3 linked regions of the Cricetulus griseus genome follow. The protein of the gene in region 1 interacts with the protein of each later gene in a biochemical or structural test. Links are inferred from orthologs where the notes say so. Each region holds a gene or a part of one and is shown on either strand. Other genes may lie near its edges. The genes, in order: Cul3, Dcun1d4 and Kctd17.

The links.
Region 2: the proteins of Cul3 (region 1) and Dcun1d4 form a complex in vitro, tested with the Homo sapiens proteins (2 studies listed by BioGRID, with this or other methods). The link is inferred for Cricetulus griseus from reciprocal best matches to the Homo sapiens genes CUL3 and DCUN1D4.
Region 3: the proteins of Cul3 (region 1) and Kctd17 form a complex in vitro, tested with the Homo sapiens proteins (3 studies listed by BioGRID). The link is inferred for Cricetulus griseus from reciprocal best matches to the Homo sapiens genes CUL3 and KCTD17.

The regions. Positions count from the first base shown.
Region 1 is NC_048595.1:432,991,604-432,995,742, forward strand, and holds the start of Cul3 (cullin-3), read right to left. Parts: upstream 2,805-4,139; 5' UTR 2,677-2,804; coding exon 2,611-2,676; intron 1-2,610. UniProt on the Homo sapiens protein: Core component of multiple cullin-RING-based BCR (BTB-CUL3-RBX1) E3 ubiquitin-protein ligase complexes which mediate the ubiquitination and subsequent proteasomal degradation of target proteins.
Region 2 is NW_023276807.1:140,060,866-140,064,509, reverse strand, and holds part of Dcun1d4 (DCN1-like protein 4), read right to left. Parts: intron 2,477-3,644; coding exon 2,372-2,476; intron 266-2,371; coding exon 163-265; intron 1-162. UniProt on the Homo sapiens protein: Contributes to the neddylation of all cullins by transferring NEDD8 from N-terminally acetylated NEDD8-conjugating E2s enzyme to different cullin C-terminal domain-RBX complexes which are necessary for the activation of cullin-RING E3 ubiquitin ligases (CRLs).
Region 3 is NC_048595.1:375,539,381-375,543,024, reverse strand, and holds the end of Kctd17 (BTB/POZ domain-containing protein KCTD17), read right to left. Parts: intron 2,846-3,644; coding exon 2,752-2,845; intron 2,589-2,751; coding exon of another isoform or gene 2,224-2,588; exon of another isoform or gene 2,163-2,223; coding exon of another isoform or gene 2,075-2,162; exon of another isoform or gene 1,906-2,074; intron 1,253-1,905; coding exon 876-1,252; 3' UTR 445-875; downstream 1-444. UniProt on the Homo sapiens protein: Substrate-adapter for CUL3-RING ubiquitin ligase complexes which mediates the ubiquitination and subsequent proteasomal degradation of TCHP, a protein involved in ciliogenesis down-regulation.

The sequences.
Region 1 (4,139 bases):
ACTTTAAAAAATTTACCAACAAAAAGATGTAAAATAAACTATAGTCTATATAATAAAAGTAAGTCTAAAAATTAAATCAACAATTTTTTCTGTTAACAGTTCAAGTACAGAAATTCTTAATCTTAAATTTTGTAAGTTTACTTAAAAATGTAAACTGGGGGTGGGGGCAGAAAAAATTCAAGCTGTGCATTAAGCTAGTGTAGTGTAACTTTCACTCTGCTGAATAATGTGAAAACAAACTTAAAATATACACTAAAAATACAAAGAGAACCTGTTTGGTAAAATTTTATCTGCAATACTCTCGTATATATGAAATATTCTGTAAGGTAACTCACCACTACTGTACAGTGAAAATGAAACAAATCCAAACTCACTCATTCCTTTTACATATCAATTTTTTTTGGGGGGGGGACGACCCTGAAATGAGCAACTGAAATTTTTCATTAACCTACGGTTTGCCATAAGTTACAGCTAACTATATATCCACATAGTGTAACATACACCAGTTGTAGGAATATACACACATAAGCATAAGTGGTATTTTTGTGTGTGTGAAATACTATTTATAACTTCTGAGTAGCAGTTGATGTGGGCTGTAGTTTTAGACAAGACCACTAATCTGGATGAAAGTCTGACAGTCTAAGGACCTGATTCCCAGAAGTCAATGAAATATCACTGGAGCCTTATCTACCCCCAACAATGGCTGATTATTTTCAATGGGAACTACCTTGACTGTTATTTATACTTATGAACTAGGAAAAAAACGAAAACACAAAACAAATCTCTGTTCCCGTACTATGTATTAGCTAACCTATCAAACACTATTATCATCTTCAGCTAATGGAATAAAATTCTCTCCTGCTTTTAATCCCTAATACTAGCTCCAGAAAACAAAGATCTTTGCCTTTACACATCTACTGATAAATCCTAAAGCTCCAGGAACAGTACCTGCATACAGCACTCAGTGTATCTTGGAGCAATGAAGGGATGGGAGAGGAAAACAGGTGCTAGCAGGGAGAGGAGGAGGTCAAAGAGGTGCAAGCACAGATAGACAGAATACAACTTGTCAGAGAGGAGGTCTTCCACATCTCACCAAACAAAGACTTCAAGAAAGAACAGCACCAAGAGCAAACATTTCCTAGAAAACCAGTGTCACGATTTCATTAAAAGACACACACACCCCAAAAAATAGAAGGGGGGGGAGGGATCAGACTTGACAATCACCTGGATGGTGGATTCAGGAGGAAAATTTTATTACTCAAATTCATAAACCCAGGCCACTGCCCAATTACAAAGGAAAACATAGTAGTGAACTTTATCAGTGTTGTCTTTCCAGCATTTCTCACTTTCTGATGTAAAAATAAATCGTTCATAATGTAATTAATATCAAAATACTTCTTCCTCCTGATTGTACCCACCCTGTTTACATAGGCCCCATTTATTTACATAAAAGTTTCAATATGTTCCTTGCAAATTCACAATTCTGCATCAGTTGTATACTTTTCTTTTTGACATTAAGAATTCAGTGGCCCTCAAGTTCTCCAGGACAAAGTTACTCAACTCGGGCAACACTGTGGTCTGTCTGTCTTTCCTTTCCTCACTGCAAAGGGTACCCACACGACAGAATGCTTATGAGCCTCAGAAGAGAAAAACAACAACTTTCCTTGGTTTTACTTTTAAGAGGACTTGCCCGACTGCGGGTTTGCCCGTTTGACTTTTACCTGTTACTGTAGCGACATGAGCAAGTATGTCCAGTTTCTCTGTTACAACAGGACCTTTTAATTGCCTGCCACTGGCTGTCTGATGGAGGCATGACATCCGAAGTTAGGCTCCATCTACTAAACACCGCAAGCCTATATGACTCAACGCAACGCCAAGAGAGAAAAAAAAAAAAGTTTCTCAAGAGAAAAACGTTTGCTGTCGCTAAAAGAAACGTACAAGGTAAAACTAGCCTGCGTGGCGACTATTCTTGGGGACTTCCCTGGCTAAGAGATGGAAAAGCAGGAGAGTGCAGCTCCTTCTGTGCCTGGCCGGCCCTCCTCGGAGCGGAGCGTCTGGTGAAGCGCTCAGGAGGCTTGCGGGATCAAAGATGCTATAAATACTAGGCTCGGTGCTGCTGCTGCTCTTTAGCCACCGGGCATTTCTGTCAGTGAGTGGGGCAGGCGGGCGGCAAGACGGCTCCTGACTGAGGAGGGGGCAGAGGCGGACGGTCCTCCCCACCACCGTCCAAGCCCAGCCGGCTCCTTCTGGAAACCAGCAGCTGAAAGTTACACACACACACACACACACACACACACAAACACACACACACACACACGCCCCACGCGAGGGCTGCGGCGGCGGCAGCGCGCGTCCCCTTCGGGCCGAGGCAAGCGAGGCCGGCGCGAAGGAGGCCCCGGGGCGACCGGGGCGTCAGGAACGGCCCGGCTCGCGCCCGGTGGCGACCGCGCCGGCCCGCGCCGCCCGCTTGCCCTGGAAGGCTCGCGCCCCGCCACCGGCGGCCGTGGGGTGAGGGGAGGCGGGCTGCGGCCTGTTGGCGGAGTTCAGCCCCGGCCTCGCGTGCGGCTCCCGGCCGCGGCTCCGGGTCCCGGGCGCCGAGGACCGACTCACCGGAAAGGCCCGGATCCGCATCTTGGTGTCCTTCCGGCTGCCCGTGCCTTTGCTCAGATTCGACATGGTGCTCGGCCCCTCCCCGGTGGCGGCGGCGGGTGCGGGTGCGGCGGCTGCGGCGGCGGCTCGCACTCCGAGGCGCCGGTGTCACATTGAAGGCGGGAGGGCGGCCGCGGGCTCGGCGGGGGCGGCGGCGCGGCCCCCGGGCTGCGGCTGGCAGCGGGCCGGCCCCTGCGCGGGGCCGCGCCGGCGGCGGGCGGCGGCTCGGGCCGGCGGCCTCGGGCTCGGCGCTGCGCTGGCGCGGCGGCTCGCGGGCTTCCCCTCGCGCCGGGCTCGGCTCCCTTTATCGCGCTCCTCCGCGATGGCGGCGGCGGCGGCGACGGACAAACATCTCACTGCGCAGGCCGAACGTCCTCCTCCTCCTCCTTCTCCTCCTCCGCCTCAGCGAGACGAGATCCGGCCCAGAGGGTGGAGGGGGGAGGAGGGAGGGAGGAGAGCCGAGAGTGGAGAGATGGGGGGAGGGGGCGGGAGGACGGGAGGGGAAGCGGGAAGCGCGCGGCCTGCGGCAACGTTCCAGATTCTCGGCGAGATTCGGGGCGGCGCGCGCCGCGCCGCGGCGCGGGAGGGGCCGGCGGCGCGGGCGCGGGTCGGAGCCGGGAGGGCGGGAGGGAGGGAGCGCGAGGAAGGGGCGGGGACGCGGAGGAGGGTGCGGAGCTAGGAATGACAGCGGGCAGCGTCCTGGGGGCGGGAAAGGGGCGGGGCCCGGGGCCAGGAGGCGTGGGCTGCCTTTTCAAAAGAGGAGCGTCCGAGACCCCCGGTAGGCGGGGGCGGCCGCTGATTGGTGGAGGGCGAAGATGATGTGTCACGTGGGCAGTGGGCGGGGGAAGTTCCGGGAGCCAAGCTGGGATTTTTCAGCGCCGTGGCCCCCGCCCGCCCGCCCGGCGGAGCCCCCTTGCAGGTAGTCCCAGGCAAGGGCGTGGGTGCCCGTGGGGCGGCTCAACGTCCTCGAACTGTGGCTGTGTTTTTCTAGGGCACGTGGCCTAGGGATGGGTACTTGAGCCCCAGCCAGAAACTTGGAAGCAGAGTTTGTGCCCAATGAGAAGCTGATGTCCTATATCGAGCTAGGTGTTGCAACGCCTCACAACTGAGGCGACCAGGCTTCCTTGCTTGCACTGCGCTAGCTCCTGGGTTTGTCGGTAAATTTGGTATTTTCTGGAGGATCCAGAACCTACTAATGTGAAAACCGGTTTTTGTTTGTATCGAAATAAAACGAGTGCCTAATGTACCACATCTTTTTTTATTCCCCTTTTTTTGGGGGGTCGGGGGGAGGCCGGGGTTCGAGACAGGGTTGCTCTGTGTAGCTTTGGAGCCTATCCTGGCACTCGCTCTGGAGACCAGGCTGGTCCCGAACTCACAGATCCGCCTGCCTCTGCCTCCCGAATGCTGGGATTAAGGTCGTGCACCACCACTGCCCTGCGTACTACAATATCTTAATAGTCTGTGTTAAACATTATGATAGACGCCTGCCA
Region 2 (3,644 bases), on another chromosome or scaffold:
GGGAGGAAGGGAAGAAGGGAGATGGGGGGGGTAGGAGAGAGGTAGAGGGGTGAGGGGAGAGGTAAAAGAAAGTACATGGCTTGGAAGGTCTTCCCAGGGAGGAAGATGTGCAGTGTACCAGGTCTGGGAGGAAGGAGGGATGACTCAGCACCCCGTACTCACACGCTCCATCTTCATCATAGTTGCTGAGGTCCAGACTAATTGTCCTGCTGAACTCTAGCACATTGCACCACTGGTCTTTGTTTATCACTTTATATTTTGATTGCTGATGGGAGAAAGTAATGTGGTTAATGACACAAAATTAACAAGTGGGATGGTTTCAGTTTCTATATGAACCAACTTAGGAAAGGTCATGTAGGGCTAACTCAACTGAAGCACTGGTCGGGGAAATGGTGAGACAGAACAAGGGTTGAATTTAAAATGAGAGTTTTTCATTACAACATCACTATAAGGACACATAGTGGTGGTACGTCCTTCACAGCAACGCTGCAAAGATAAATGAGAGGCCTACATAGATTATACAAAGTACTTCGTCTAATACTTGGCAGAAAGCAAGTGCTAAGCAAGGAGTAAGTCTCAGCGACAAGCCAATGCAACAGTCCTGCTCACTGCCAAGCTGCTGGCTTCAAGTGCATGCATCAGGTGGCTACTTGGTGCCAGTGGCTCAGAGCTGGGAGCTAGCTCCTCCATGACTCTCATCACAGAAGAAACTGGGACAGTCATGAAGTGATTACTCTATCACTCTTAAACAAGAAATCTGCTACAGGTAGATAAACACAGTATCCTAGAGTTTCAAATGCAAAATCCAGAGCTAACATTAAAAAAAAAATCCTAATAGAAAAAAAAAATAAAATCAAAAATAGTAAAATAATGTAAATCTTTTTAAAAGGGCAAAGAGTCAAGCCAACAGTTTTGAAGATGCAGGCAAAGGACAGGCTGGAGTGAGCATGCTGCTGCCTCCTTCTAAAGGGAAAAACACCAACTTAGCAAGAGAAAAGCACAGACTTTAACTTCTGAAACATGAAAAGTGAAACCAGTCTCAAAACAGCCAGTAGTGTTCCTGGTACTGAGCAATGTCAAACTTACTCGAAGCCAAAGGGCTCCTCACCTGAAGGTTCAAATCCTACTAGACTCACTGCGTACAAGAACCCATTTCTTGCCAGGCACAGTTGGTGGTGCACACCTTTAATCCCAGCACTCGAGAGGCAGGGGCAGGCAGATCTCTATGAGTTCGAGGCCAGCCTGGTCTCCAGAGAGAGTGCCAGGATAGGCTCCAAAGCTACACAGAGAAACCCTGTCTTGAAAAACAAACAAACAAAAAGCCCATTTCTTTCCTACTCCTGTTCCAATAGTGAGGGCTTCTCTCAGTGATGGACAGGGAAGCTGGGACAGACTCCAGGGAGAGCGCACCATTGCATCAACATGTACTTGTATTGTATTGATGAGCAGCTTTTACTAGCTTTCTTATGGAGTGCCAGTTAGTAGTTACAAGTGGCTTCTAGTAACAATCTTCAAAGGTTACACTGATTGCTAAGTATTATGGGCCACTACATAAAGCAAGTTGTAAAGAAAGATTATTTCAAGTGGGTGTTGGAATTGGGCAAGACACAGGATTTTCTCAAAGATTCTATACTCAACCTTGAAACCAAAGGCCATGTTTAAAAGGGCTCAAGTAGGAGGGGGCCCAAGGCAGATGCCACATGTGACAGACAGCCCAAGCAACTCAAATACTTCTCTGCTTCCTCCAGGTTCTGCCAAAGGACATTTGGAGAAAACCCACAACTAATTATTGGCAGCCCAAAATTGTGGCCTGCTGTGAAAGCAAACAGCAACGATGTAAGGAAATGTTGGTTGTTTCTGCCACCTGGTTAAGCACGTTTAAATTGAAGGAGACACTGTGGGCACACCTAATCCAGGGCTCACAGCTATCCAAGCACTCCGGTAGGTACTTGGAGATGAAAGCCGTTAAGAACAAATCACAAACTCTTTTCAGTGAAAGGCAGGTGGCTGATATTTAATGTTGGCGTAAAACTGGAAATTCATCTGAAAGAAAGTAAAGCTTGACTTCTATTGGGAGTCTAATACCAGTGGAGTCTCTCCTACAAGGGGCCGAGAGGAGAGAAGGGGCACTTGGCTGTTCGTACACAAACTACTACTAACACACACACACACACACACACACACACACACACACACACACACACACACACTCTCCCCAAGATATGCAGCTGCTGATTGACAGCAATCAGGGAACCATAATTTCTATGAGCAGAAAGCTACAACAAAGAAAAAAGTAATCACACAAAACAGATGAAATATATGGTAGTTCTAAGCAAGCAAACATACATTTCATAAAGTAATAATTTGGTACCTCTAAGAATTGGTGAAAAACTGGAAAAAGGGGCCAGATTTTTCCTAATAACAGTCCCAACATGCACTTGGCAGTGTTTATGTCTAGGCTGCGCTGGTCCTTTTCCTGTTTAATAAATAAAAACAAGGGTAAGCCAGATGCTTCTAAATCACAAACTCTAACAATCCAAACATGTATTTCAGTTCAACGAGAAATTGGTAAATAGCTCATTTATTACACATCATAAAACTCTGAAGGAACTAAGGAAATGGTAGCCAAACACAATGCAAAGCCTGACATTTGAGTGTCACATACAAATTTATTCTGAGAAAGAGTGATGTGAATAACTTTACCCTAGTGGCAAATCCATTATGTAGTGGTAGCTACAATCATTTCCTAGGCAAATAAGAACCATAACCTGCTTGCTTACATCATGATAATTACCAAAATTATAACTGCTGATCCGAAAGCCCTCAGGCGAACTCAGTGGAGTCCAAGTGGTTTGCTTTTCAGTGCTTAGGACTGGGTTTCCTCAGAGACTCATTTTTCCAACAGCTTTATTTTGTGTGGTAAATATTTTTCTTCTACCTAGACATACTGGAACTAAATTCAACTAGAAAGGGTTGGTGCCCTGGAGCATCTCTCCCCATCAAAAGACAAGCTCATCCACCTGTCTAGGGAAACAGGGACTCTTATCTCCACACAGCTTACCTAGCATGTGGCATGCATGACTTCTAGCACAGTGGTTAGTGACTACTAGGAAACAGAACGTACACACACACACAAAGGAAGCTTATTCCACTTTTATTTGTAATTAAAGGTTCTACTTGTCATTGTATTTTTCCTGCACATTGCGAGTCCATTCCTATAAGGTGAGGGGATGTGTTCTTGGACACAGGAGACAATCTCACACATCTACAGCACTCCTTCATGTGGTCCATCAACTAGAGCGGAAATCTGTAAGAGGATTTTTCTATAAAAAGGGGAGGTGCTTAGTTATCCCACTACAGTAGAATGTCACTATTCACCTCACCACATTAAGGAACCACGTTGCAAACACCCTTGGCCATGTGCACCTTTTGACAGAAGCGCTGTTCAGTATATGGTGAATTTCCTATCCAGGCCACCTATCTTCAAAGGACTTAAAGTGACACAGCCATGTGAGGCTCACTCAACAAGCTAACAAGGGGAAAGAAGGCAGAGCAACTTGCTGTTTAGGAAAGACATTCAAAGGGGCTTCTGGTCATAGCCGGTACGTACAGCAGCTATTCATGAACAAGCCAGGTAGGTCAAG
Region 3 (3,644 bases), about 57 Mb from region 1:
AGGAGGACCACATCTTTTATCAAGCCTCCATCTGGCTCCTGAAAAGCTGACTGGAAAAGGGAGCTCACCTTTAGGAAGTGCATGTCTCAGGGTTGTGGTGGTGTTCTCCAAGCTGTGAGCTGGCAGGAGGGTGCCCTGGCCCCTGCCAGGTGTAGGGACACCCAGACGCCAGTGGCGTAGCTTCACAAAGATGGGGAGTAGGATGAGTCGGGCAAGAGGGTGAGGTGGCCCAGCAGGAAGGAGAGGGGTAGCCCATGGCTTAGGCTACAGCAGAGCAGTTGACAGAGCCAAGTAGCCTCAACTTTGACTCCTGAGTACAGGACTTAGTCATACACCCAGGAAAGTGACAATGACAGGGGGCTTCAGAAAAAGCAGGTCTACCTCACCTGAGTTTAAGCCCTGTTCCCCAAAGGAGCCCAGAGAAAGAGGGAGGCAGCCAGGCCAGCCTGTTGGTTTCAGGTTTATTTCATGGTGAGTGGGACACAGCTGGCACATGTGTGCCCATCCCAGGGGTCAAGACATGGGAGGGGCAGCTCAGCCCCTTTCACACCCGTCCCCTTCCCCATCACAAGTTCCTGGGCAGCCTCAAGACTCGCTAGCACACTCTGCTGCCAAACACGTGGTGGCAAAGGGGAAGGGCAGCCAAGGTGATGCCAATCCTGTACCTGGCTTCCTGCTTGGCTTAGTCCTCGCATTGTCCCCCACCAGTATCTGAAGCCATAGTGTCCCACTTGGGGGCTCGGCTAGAGTTCCCTCCCCCCAAAAGTAACGATTGCAGCCCTAGACACTTAGGGCTCCAGGAACCCCATTCCTCCCTGATCCTCACAACACCCCTGTGAGGTAGGTGGGAGGAGGGGTGCCATGGAGACAGAGGCTCAAGGAGGTGCTATGACTGGGCTGGGAGGGAGTGGATCCGCCATGCAGCAAGGGGGCCCAGGCGAGGGGACAAACGGGCCTGGGAGATATGGGTGGGCAGTGCCACACTTTGGCCATGGGCAGATGACTCTGCCTGGACACACCAGGGCCCACCTCAGGCCTTCCAAGGTCCCAGAGGGCCCCAGGCCTGGGCCTGGAGGCAGGGTTGAGTCCCAGCCCAGCAGATGCAGGCAGCAGTGATAAGGGAGAGGGCAAGTCTTCCTCCTCGGGCCGGGGGCCCACCCCGTGGTACAAAAATAAAGGATTTCAGATCGGAACCCCAAGTCCCTGGAGGTGATCTGGGGGCTCACATCCGGGTGCCTCTGGCTTGTAATAGCTAGAAAATAAGAGAGGGGAGGGACAGAAGGAAGAGGAGAGGGGGTCAGAAAACCAGGGTGGGGGTGAGGATAGGGTGATGCCAGGACAGGAAAGTTGGGGAGAGTGGGAGAGGGAGGGAGAGAGGGAGAGAGAAAGGCAAGTGAGTCCAGGCTGGCTCTGGAGGGGGGGGGGGGCTGAGGCCCAAAGAAGGCGGAGTCAGGACTGAGGAGGGGAGAAACTGCCAGTCTTGGGCTGGTTGTGGCAGCCTGGTGGTGGGGGGCGTTAGGAGGGACAGATCACTGCTTTCCCAGGCAGAAAGGGGACACCGAAAGCAGCTGTCCACACCATCTTAGAATCCAACTGTGGCCCAGAGAGAGGCAGTGACTTGCCCAAGGTCACATAGGGAGATCCGTCTGACTGGGGCCTATTGTCACCCCTGTCAGAGAATAGGTCTTTTCCTGCCACGCTCCAATCCTTGGCAGGCTCTTGCCAACTCATTAGCCAAGGGACACCACATGTGGCCTGGCACCCACTCCACAGAACTAGGGGACACAGTACCCACATGCAGTGTGGCACGAGCTTCTAGACATGCGTGATGGGGCAGAGGCCAGTCCTCTCCTCCCCGGCCTGGCTCCAGGGCCTACTGACTACAGGCAGGCAGGTACAAGACACTCCAGCTCTGGACTTTTTCAGTTCTCAGGGCCTCACCCCAAGGCCCAGATAAGCTGAGAGACTTTGGTGAGTGGAGAGAATCAGCCAAAAGCTCGGCTCAAGTCCAAGGACAAGATATGAGCACCCTCCTTGCTTCCGCCCCTCCCTCCAGCTCTGCCAGGCTACAAACCAGGGGCGGCAGCTCTGGGGGCGGGCGCGGGGCCGAGGAGCTCTCACAGCAAGCTCAGGCTTGGGTCTGGGAGGGTGCGGACAGGGACCTGCAAGGAGGAAACGTGAGGAGGCAAGCGGGAAGAGTGGGGCCTGTGGCCAAGGTCAGCCTCAGAGGTGCCCTGCTGGGTTGGAGGATATAGAGCAGATGCGGCCACGCCCCTCCTCCCCAGGCCAGGAGGCAGAAGGGGCCGAAAGGGGCGCAGGAGGCGGCAGGCAGGATGCTTGGGGATGCAGGGCCAGGGGGCCCGGGGAGAGGGCACGGGACACTGGGACTAGGGCAGCCCCAGGGTGGAGACGGGAGCAGGCAGAGAGGAAACCTGGGCAGGGGCAGAGAGGGAAGAGGCAGGGTGCAGATGAGATCCAGGAGGAAGAGGAGGTGGATGAAGATGAAGCAGGACCTCCAGCAGGAAGCGGAGGAGGAGGAGGCGGTGGTGGGAGGGAGAAAAGGTTAGCGGGATCCTGAGATGACAGGGCTGCAAGAGAAAGTGAGAGAGGGATGGTTATGGGCGAGGCGCCAGGCGCTGAGCTAACCCTGGTGGCCCGCCCCCGCAGTTCCCGGCGGCAGCTGCTCCAGCAGGGAGAGGGCGGGAGGCCCGGGCTGTCATTAGCAATCGTCCTCCTGGGGGCGGGCTGCACCTTTCTCCTGGGCATCCGCCTCCACCTGCACCTGGGCCACCTCCACCTCCTCCACCTCCTGCCGCCGCTGCTCCTCCAGCTGCTCGTCCGTGCTCTGCGAACCCGCCGCCGACCAGGGAAGAGAGAGTGGAGACACTGACGAGGGGGCGGGGCTGCGGGCGGCTGTCCGCAGGGACCCCCGACCTCAGGACAGAGGGGCAGGCAGGATGAAAGGAACCTCTGAGAAAGGGAGGGCAGTAGCCAAAGCAGCTGGTGCGTCTTCCCTAGCCCAGAAAAGATGCTTAGAGACCATCCAGGCTGCTGTTACAGAGTCCGGCTATGGGGAGGACTGGAAGAGGAGCCACTGGGCTCCTGGAAAGGCCTTACTTTGGGAGGGTGGAGCCAGAGCAGGAAGCCAAGGTTGTCCCAGGGTAGTCACCAGCCAGATCTAGATGCCAGCAACAGTGTCTGGCAGCCTGGGCCAGGTTGGTGACAAAAGGGAGGCAGAGCAGCAGGGTACCCTGCACTCTTGCAGGGAGGAGCCAGCCACTGGCATGGGGGGAGGATGGCAAGGGGATTACAGCAGGGCTGGGTGGTAACACACGGGAAGCCAGAGTTCCTAAAACTCCTGCACATGGGCACAGCTTCCACCTTCCCAGCCAGGATCATGCCTATTGTGTGGGCCCTACTGCAGGCCCAAGGGTACTGGGCCTGACTCAATTCTTCCCCACAGGCTGGCTGCCAACTGAGCTCTTGGAAGAATGCTGCCTAGGCCAGAGCCCACAGGGCTCCTAAAACCACTCAGGGAGGCTACCCAAAAGGCCTGGGGGAAAGTAGGACTGTGGTATTTCCCCATCCTGACCTAGGCTGACACTAGACAGTCACTAGTCCCTGGGAAATGAACCAGCAGGTGG